Arabidopsis thaliana: one gene and its partner. The protein of the gene in region 1 purifies or fractionates together with the protein of each later gene. This does not show direct contact. Each region holds a gene or a part of one and is shown on either strand. Other genes may lie near its edges.

Region 1 (5,091 bases):
ATGAAGATGAATGAAGCATCTGAGAATGTTGCTGTAGAATTGGCTGCACAAGGAGTTATAGGGAAAAGGGTTGATGAAATGGAATCAGGGTTTATGATGGCTCTTGATTACATGATCCAACTTGCAGACAAAGACCAAGACGAGAAGGTAAACCAATTCTGCATTTTCCCTCTGAATGTACACAAAAATATTTCTAGAATTGACTTGAGTTTTGCTACATAGAACGACCAGGATAGCTAGAATTGCTTTTGCAATGTAGTGTAGCAAATATTACATGTTCTCTGGATTTTATGGCTGTTGTTAGTCTTGCCATTAGTTCTGTAGCATAAGCTGGGACAAAGGATTAAAGAATTTTTGTTTTGGATTCAGAGAAAGTCTTTACTAGAGGTCGTCAAGGAGACTGTCTTATCTCATCTCACCAAGAAATGCCCTCCTCATGTGAGTAATATTAAGATTAGTTTCTTCTTACTTTCTAAATTTTTCATTAGCTTCATTTCATGTTTTTAATTTTGTGTAAGTGTTGCTCCATATTTAGGTCCAGGTGATTGGTTTACTCTGTAGAACCCCGAAAAAGGAAAGTAGACATGAGCTTCTGCGTAGGGTGGCTGCAGGTGGTGGGGCTTTTGAAAGTGAGAACGGTACTAAACTTCATATACCCGGAGCAAATCTGAATGACATAGCTAATCAAGCTGATGACTTGCTAGAGGTACTTGTGTTTGTTTAAGTATAGATATCAATCTGTATTTGAGATAGTTTGAGAATGTGAACAAGTCTGAGGATTTTTGCAGACTATGGAAACAAGGCCAGCTATTCCGGATCGAAAACTACTAGCGAGGCTTGTTTTGATTAGAGAGGAAGCCCGGAACATGATGGGAGGAGGTATACTTGATGAAAGAAATGACCGAGGTTTCACTACTCTTCCTGAATCAGAGGTTTGTGTGACAAACTATTATGTCCATGATGCTGTGTTTGTGAACATTTTTTAAACATTGAGATACAGTGACTTGTTGCTTGATCGTCAAACAGGTGAATTTCTTAGCCAAATTGGTAGCTTTGAAACCTGGAAAGACTGTGCAGCAGATGATCCAGAATGTAATGCAAGGGAAAGATGAAGGCGCAGATAATCTTAGCAAAGAAGACGATTCTTCTACCGAAGGAAGAAAACCAAGTGGATTAAATGGAAGGGTAAGTATGATCAAGTGACACATTGTTTTGTTAAAAGAGAAGACTTTTTCAGTAGGCTCTGAACCAAAGATATGTCTTCTTTTCTTACTTGGCCTACTTGATGCGATCTCAGGGAAGCGTTACAGGAAGAAAACCGTTACCAGTAAGACCAGGAATGTTTCTAGAAACTGTCACAAAGGTATGTTTCCAACATTCCTCGATCCCCTATGTTCAACAGATGATAGTAATAGAGAACATTGACCACTTTTTTATGTGATGTTTAAATCCAATCTTGATAGGTACTGGGAAGTATATACTCGGGTAATGCCTCCGGGATAACAGCACAACATCTAGAATGGGTAAGTTCCTCATAACACCAAAACATTTGCAACCAAAGTCTCGTTTCTTTGCATTCATCATAGTTTATTTCTGTTCACAGGTTCACCAAAAAACCCTCCAAGTTCTTGAAGAAATCGCTTATTAGTAATATCTTTTGTTACATCAAGAAAGACTCGCAGGTAGAGATTGCGTCCTGAAATAATCTTGATCGGTATATAATTTGTAATTTGGTTGGTTGATATGACATATAATGTCTCTCTACTAAACTATGCACATCCATTAAACCTCAAAAGTTACATGTGACGTAAAATAAAATTGGAAAGGGATAGAAGAAAAAAAAGAATAATGGTAGTGATATTAACATATCTTTAAACCCATTCGAAACGGATGGGAAAAAATAAAATCGTAACTTTTGTCCTATGTGTACCATTCAGAGTTACACAATGATAACAAACTAAAATATTTGATGACACAGTATATAACAAAGATTAAAATATTCGAGTAACCAATTTTAATTGATTTCTTTCCAACGGTTTAATAGAGGAGACATGCGAACGAGACACGAGTCCTATAGGGTAGTAAATGAAAAGTGATTAGTAGGGGCATATTCACGTAAATAAATCAAAAAGTAAGGGTAAAAATCCACGGACGTGAGAGCAATTGTTATATCCATTTGAAATCCTCGTCAGGTTACACGAAACGATTCCGCTTCTCCGCTTCCTTCATAAATATCTCACTCATCGTCTCTAGATTGTTCTTTCACACGCAATTTTCATTTCTCTCTTAACCGTAAACGAATCTCTCTTCTCAAAGTTTTATTTTCTCTCTGCGATGGCTCAAGAAGATGTTACTGCTGTTGCTACTAACGGTGCTGGTCCGGTGGAGACGCATCTTGTCTTCACTGAGTTCAAGCAGATGTTGCTCGTTGAAGCTCAAAAGGTCGGTGACGCTGTTACTTTCTACAAATCTGCTTTTGGTGCGATCGAGTCTGGTCATTCTCTTTACCCTAAGCGTAAGCTTGACCAAGAGCTTCCTCATGTTCTCTCTTCTGAGCTTAATCTCGCTGGCTCTTCCTTCGTTGTTTGCGACGTTTCCTCTCTCCCTGGTTTTTCTACGTAAGTCTCTCTCTCTCGTTTTGGTGTTTAGCTTCTAGATCTCCATGTTTTCTGTTTTTTTTTTAGGTTTTTGTTCGTTTAGTGTTTGATTTCGTTTTAGATCTGGTTTTAGGTTGTTTTATTAGAAGAAATCTGGAGAATAAATCATGTTTAGAAGTTATTCCTCTCCCTTAAACACGATTTTTTTGTTCGTTTTAGATCTGGATTTAGGTTTTTGAAATGAATAGTTTTTGGAAACTTTTATAACGCTTAAAAAACTATTTTAAGTGGATGATTGTGCCTTTTCTTAAATACGATTACTGTTTACTTATGTGGTTTTGTTTCTTTTTTAAATCGTTAAACAGTGCGAAATCGGAAGGTTCGGGAGTGACTTTTCTTCTCGGAACTAAGGATGCTGAAGCCGCCGTTGCGAAAGCTGTTGACGCCGGAGCTGTGAAAGTGGAGGTTACGGAGGCAGAAGTTGAACTGGGATTCAAAGGAAAAGTTACGGATCCTTTTGGTGTCACTTGGATCTTCGCGGAGAAGAAGACCGTGATCACCGACGAGAACAAAGAGGTTTAGAATCTGTCGTCGGATCTAATTCTTCGTCGGTTTCTGAACAAAAAAAACTATCTATTATCCTAGGTTTATGCTTTTATTTTGTCTTTTGTGGAATCCGGTAATCAGTAAACCGGATCGAGTAGGCTAATGACTTTCGGATTCTAATTTCACCCCTTTTGACAAACTCTAATCTTGGTGAAATTGCATATTAATCTCGGGCTATATTATGTTTTGTTGATGATTTCGCTTCTCTATCTATCTTCTATAATCGTTCTGTGTTTAATCTGTGTTCTTTGTCATTTTTGTTGGTTTAGTACTAAGGGTATAATCGTCTATTTGGAATGAAAATGAAATGGTTAGTGATTAGATAAGACGGAATTAAGAATATTTGTTGTTTTGGTGTCAGAGTGTTGAATACTGTGTCAGAGGTAGTGAAACCATAAACCTCTGTATTTGTGCTTTGTGGTTTCTCTCTATCGCTTATTGGTTACATATTTTTCGAAATTGCCCTTCCGTGTTTGGGCCTTGTGTAGTTTTCGATTGGTCCTCTTTCTTTTCTTTTGACCAGTTTTTGGGGTTAACCCATAAACGCCATTTGGCAGAAAATACGATTTATTAATAACATCCGATATTTAGAATAGGAGTAATAAAAAACATAAACACACGTATACAGAGTCTTTTAACAAGTTGGGGCGTTGGCTAGACCACACTGTTTGGGGAGAGCAGAAGCGAGTTCAGGATCAACACCGAAAGAACCGAGCCATGGAGAGTTCTTGTAACCACAAAGACATGCAAAATCAGCGTGTTGCAGAGCGGTGCAGCAAGGCTGTGATGGGCTCGTCGGATTCTCCTTGCTAACCGCTGGTTTGCACTCATTCAACTCATCCTGGCTCATGCCGCAGAGATCTATCGCTACTGATGTATCGACCAACATAGCCATTATCACGATCATCGCCATCATAACCATAGCTGCTTTCTTGCTCGCCATATTATTATCCTCCTCTCTCTTTTTCTATATGTTTGTTTGTGTTTGTGGTGTTGAAATGAATGTGCATGAGAAGGTGTATATATATCAAGTTTTAGAGAAACCCGTGAACCAGATTGGATTGCTCCATATAGTCACGGGGATGTGTTTTTCCACTTTACTTTTGGGAGAGGGTCTTTTGTCATAGAATCATAAGCTTTCGGATTCTTATCAATTATCAAGTATCGATTACACAATTTCCAGTCCACAAATCTTTTACTACAAATGGAAAAAGAAAATTCAACTTGCACATTGTATTTGTATATAAAATTCTCTTTTAATCGAAAAAAAACACATTAATAAACATCCGCAAAATACTGGGCCTGATATGAGCCCAAGTAAGAGTACTCTAAGAAGTTTCACAAATTACGAAAATAAAACAGTTAGCGAGTATTACTGTTAAGTGTCAACAACAGTTAGCTACTTTAACCACAAAACAAATGAGAACATCAGTTAGTATATAAACGGGACAAAATATAGAACGAAGAATAAATCCAAATCTCTAGATTCTCAATTTTTTTGCTGTTCTATTTTCAAATAAATGTTTTATTTTCTTTGAGAATTTCAGTCCTATTAGTGTAATTAGTGATAAACTCATAAGCATGGCACATACGAGATGATTATTTGGTCTACGAAATGGTTTAGTGGATTTAATATATGTATTTTTATAGTTGATACTTTTTCACCATCTAATCGTTTTTCAACTACAATTACTGTTTTTACCGGCGATCACTGTTTTACCGAAACCTAAAAAGTAAAAACTGTATAGTGGCAATCATTATTTTACCTAATTCACAATTATCTTCTTTTTGTTAAAGAGATTTTAGGAAAAGCAAATTAGGCCTTGGCCAACGAAGGTTAGAAATAGAAAGACTATAACAAATGACCAATTTTAAAGGTATATGAGCC
Region 2 (4,179 bases), on another chromosome or scaffold:
TTTAAGTAGAGAAAAAACTTGTTCATATCATCTTTATTCTAGCAAGGATAAGCTAAGATTTGATAGAAAAGCAAAATCTTAGGCTCAGTTCTAAGTATTATCATAAGAATTAGCAAAAGAGCTTTTGGCTGTTTTTTGTCTTCCCATTAAAATAGTTTTCTTGTTTCTCCTGATATGTATATTTGCAGGAATGTGAATACCTAAAAGCAATCGCCCGGCCTCGCCTTCAAGTTTCCACTGTTGTTGATGTAAAAACCGGAAAGGTATTGGACAATACCTTCCTTTTAGTTCTGTAGAAGAAGTAAAATTTCTATTACATCCACTCTCTGCCTTCGATTGTTCAGTTGTTTCAATCAAACATTGGACACAAATAGAAACGCTCTAGGTTTGCCTGCAAAGTCTAATTCATTCTCTTCCATAGTAGACATATTCTAGTTATGCTTTCAAAGTCTTAACCATACTCTTCCATTTTCTTATCACTTTCTTCTTGCTTAGGGAGTTAAAAGTGACGTGAGGACAAGCTCCGGAATGTTTCTAACTCATGTAGAAAGAAGTTATCCAATAATACAGGTAAGTCACTCTCTCATATCTTTTAAAGGCGTGCCATTTTGATCAACTTTACAATTTTGTAAATTATATTCCTTTTCGTTTGCTATTATTAGGCAATTGAAAAGCGAATTGCAGTCTTTTCTCAAGTACCAGCGGAAAATGGAGAACTTATTCAAGTTCTAAGGTGCGTGCACAACCGCAACCTTACTATTTTTTAAATCTAAAGTAAACGAAGCTTTTTTCTTGTTTTGATGAATCAAAATCTGCTGCAGTGCAGATATGAGCCGCAGCAGTTTTACAAACCACATCACGATTACTTTGCTGACACTGTAAGTCTTTGGTTCTGTTTTCATATATATATATCATTAGTAGATTGGTAAAGAAAGCTTTTGCTCTGATTAAAAAAAAAACTAAAAAGAGGCTACAGTATTTAACTTTTGGTTTGGTCAATAATGTTTAGTTGGATCTGTACTTCATCTTCTCCTTCTTCATCATCTTAGAACATTTAGTTTGGAAGTACGTTTATTGTGGGTGTTCATCATATTTCCTCGTTTCTTTTCTTATGGTTGCTACACAGTTCAATCTAAAGCGTGGTGGTCAGCGCGTAGCAACTATGCTTATGTATCTAACTGATGACGTCGAAGGAGGAGAAACTTATTTCCCTTTGGTATAACACTTTCTCTCTGTTCATGCAAATTTCAGAAAACAAAATAAACCAATGGTGTAATATCTCTCTCTCTCTACTTGAAATGCAGGCTGGTGATGGTGATTGCACCTGTGGTGGCAAAATCATGAAAGGCATCTCTGTTAAACCCACCAAAGGAGACGCAGTTCTCTTCTGGAGCATGGTTTGTTTCTTCAATCTCTCTCTCTATGTCTCTACACAAACATGAATCAATTGGACTGCTTTGAGTTCAATTACTTCTTGTGTTATTCAGGGACTCGACGGACAGTCAGATCCTAGGAGCATACATGGAGGATGTGAAGTTCTGTCTGGAGAAAAGTGGTCTGCTACTAAATGGATGAGGCAAAAAGCTACTTCTTGAAGAACTACTTAAAACTTTTTAAAACAAAAAGAAACCACAGGGACTTATATTGAAAAATGTCATAGTATCTCAGAGTTTTGATTTACTCTCTTTTTGACCCTTCAATTTTAGAATTTATCATTTACATACGTAAATCAATATGAATGTGTTTTACATTTTAACCTCTCCAACAAATTCTAAATTACTGTTAGCATATAACTGACACAGAAAACAATTACTGTTACAAAAGAATTAACTATCATTTCACCGAAATAACGAAGGAGAGTGGCATTTTGGTAAATAAGAACAAAGTCTCTATTTATAATCGCATTTTGGTTGACTTGCTTCAATCTTGACCACAGCAAAGAGAAACAAACAATGGCGGCTTCTCTGCAATCAGCAAACCCTACATTGTCACGAACCCTAGCTTCTCCGAACAAACCTTCCTCCTTCGCCACCTTCCGATCTCCATTTCTCAGATTCAATTCAACATCCGTCGCTTCCAATTTCAAACCCCTAGTTTCTCGAGAAGCATCCTCATCGTTCGTCACTCGCTCCGCCGCCGAGCCACAAGAAAGAAAAACCTTCCATGGACTGTGCTATGTCGTCGGCGACAACATCGACACTGACCAAATCATTCCCGCGGAGTTTCTCACTCTCGTCCCTTCGAATCCAGAGGAATACGAGAAACTCGGTTCTTACGCTTTAGTTGGTCTTCCAGCTTCTTACAAGGAACGATTCGTTCAGCCAGGTGAGATGAAGACGAAGTACTCAATCATCATTGGCGGTGAAAACTTTGGATGTGGATCGTCACGTGAACATGCTCCGGTTTGTTTAGGAGCAGCGGGAGCTAAAGCAGTGGTGGCTCAGTCTTATGCTAGAATCTTTTTCAGGAACTCTGTTGCTACTGGTGAGGTTTATCCTTTGGATTCTGAAGTTAGGGTTTGTGATGAGTGTACAACTGGTGATGTTGCGACTGTTGAGTTGAGGGAAGGAGATAGTATTTTGATCAATCATACGACTGGGAAAGAGTACAAGCTTAAGCCGATTGGTGATGCTGGACCAGTGATTGATGCTGGTGGTATATTTGCTTATGCTAGGAAAGCTGGAATGATTCCATCTGCTGCTGCTTGATTTTGACTTCAGGTATGATTCTGTAACTTGATGATGATGATGATGAGGATTGGTAATAGGTTAGGATTGAGATCGAATTTGTGGAATAGTCTAGGAAGCTTGACATTGAATTGAACGATGCAAAACATAGTTTTCAATGGTTCTAGTTAGAGAAAGAGAACACAGTAGTTGGGATTCTAGTTTTGTGTTGTTTAAAATGTGTTGGTTTAGTTTTTGTGTGAGATTGATAATGACTTGTTATTCTTTCTCTTCGCTTAAGACTTACTTTATCTTTCCATTGGTTCAATTTCTAGATTGTACATCTCTTGATTGTAGTTGTTGGGAGGGTAAAAGTTATGATGTTGGCTGATCTTTTCCATGCTCATATCCATTAAGACTTGAGTGTCCGATAGTAGAACAATACTTCACTCTTATTTTGTCTCTAAGACTCCTTTTTTTTTTTCCTTTTTTTGTTCTATTTGTTTTGCAGGTGTCAATGGAAGTGCATGAGAGTCACTTCAAGGATCTTGATCCAATAATAAGAATATGTAATGTTTCCAAAAGCTTATGAACCTAATCTATGTTTTATGAATATATATGACTATCGGCTTTAGTCTTCAGTATCAGTTTCTTGTTTACATTTGGATGTATCAGCTGCTAAAAAAATGCATAGTTTCCCATCCCATTTGAAACGACGTTTTCTCTCATGTCTTCCACTAATATAATCTTCTGGTCATGAGAACAGAACAGGAGCTCTGTTTTTCTCACACAATGATCGAACACACTTTTGTCATATAGTATAGAGAAATATTAACACTTCTTTTTAGGCATCCGTATCTAGAGTCTTTGTTTCACTGTGACCTACCTAAGTATATCAAAACGCACGTTTGGAATTCTGAATGGCACTTTCGTAAATAGGAGGGTACAAACATTTCTCCTTTTAAATTGTTTTCATCGTGAACTCTCTCACTCACTCAACAAAGTAAAGAAACAATGGCGTATTCTCTTCCTACATTTCCCCAAGCCTTACCTTGCTCGTCAACCAAAACTTCTTCCTCCTTGGCTACCTTCCGATCTCCTTTCTTAAGATTCAATGGTTCCACTTCCTTAATCCCCTCCTCTATCTCCATCACTTCACGTGGCACATCCTCCCCGACCATCATCCCACGTGCTGCCGCCTCAGAATCCGACTCTAACGAAGCCCTAGCCAACACAACCTTCCACGGCCTCTGCTATGTCTTGAAAGACAACATAGACACCGACCAGATCATCCCAGCAGGAGCCGCTTGCACCTTCCCATCGAACCAGCAAGAGCGTGATGAGATCGCCGCTCACGCTCTCTCTGGTCTACCAGACTTCCACAAAACACGGTTCATTGAGCCAGGAGAGAACAGATCAAAGTACTCAATCATAATCGGCGGCGAAAACTTTGGTTGCGGATCGTCACGTGAACATGCTCCGGTCTGTCTTGGAGCAGCTGGAGCTAAAGCCA

Evidence for each region.
Region 2: the proteins of AT5G48480 (region 1) and AT2G43090 fractionate together in Arabidopsis thaliana (co-fractionation; one large-scale study listed by BioGRID). This does not show direct contact.

What each region holds. Positions count from the first base shown.
Region 1 is NC_003076.8:19,642,480-19,647,570, forward strand, and holds AT5G48480 (Lactoylglutathione lyase / glyoxalase I family protein), read left to right. Parts: upstream 1-2,059; 5' UTR 2,060-2,334; coding exon 2,335-2,618; intron 2,619-2,962; coding exon 2,963-3,179; 3' UTR 3,180-3,837; coding exon of another isoform or gene 3,838-4,146; 3' UTR 4,147-4,361; downstream 4,362-5,091. Other genes in the region: AT5G48470 (uncharacterized protein), read left to right, coding at 1-147, 370-438, 536-706, 789-932, 1,027-1,185, 1,298-1,363, 1,464-1,523, 1,604-1,648; DIR1 (Bifunctional inhibitor/lipid-transfer protein/seed storage 2S albumin superfamily protein), read right to left, coding at 3,838-4,146.
Region 2 is NC_003071.7:17,917,005-17,921,183, forward strand, and holds AT2G43090 (Aconitase/3-isopropylmalate dehydratase protein), read left to right. Parts: upstream 1-1,921; 5' UTR 1,922-1,952; coding exon 1,953-2,708; 3' UTR 2,709-2,720; intron 2,721-3,177; 3' UTR 3,178-3,492; downstream 3,493-4,179. Other genes in the region: AT-P4H-1 (P4H), read left to right, coding at 189-263, 496-570, 663-733, 827-878, 1,127-1,216, 1,305-1,397, 1,488-1,595; IPMI2 (isopropylmalate isomerase 2), read left to right, coding at 3,681-4,179. UniProt on the Arabidopsis thaliana protein: Catalyzes the isomerization between 2-isopropylmalate and 3-isopropylmalate, via the formation of 2-isopropylmaleate. Plays an essential role in leucine biosynthesis.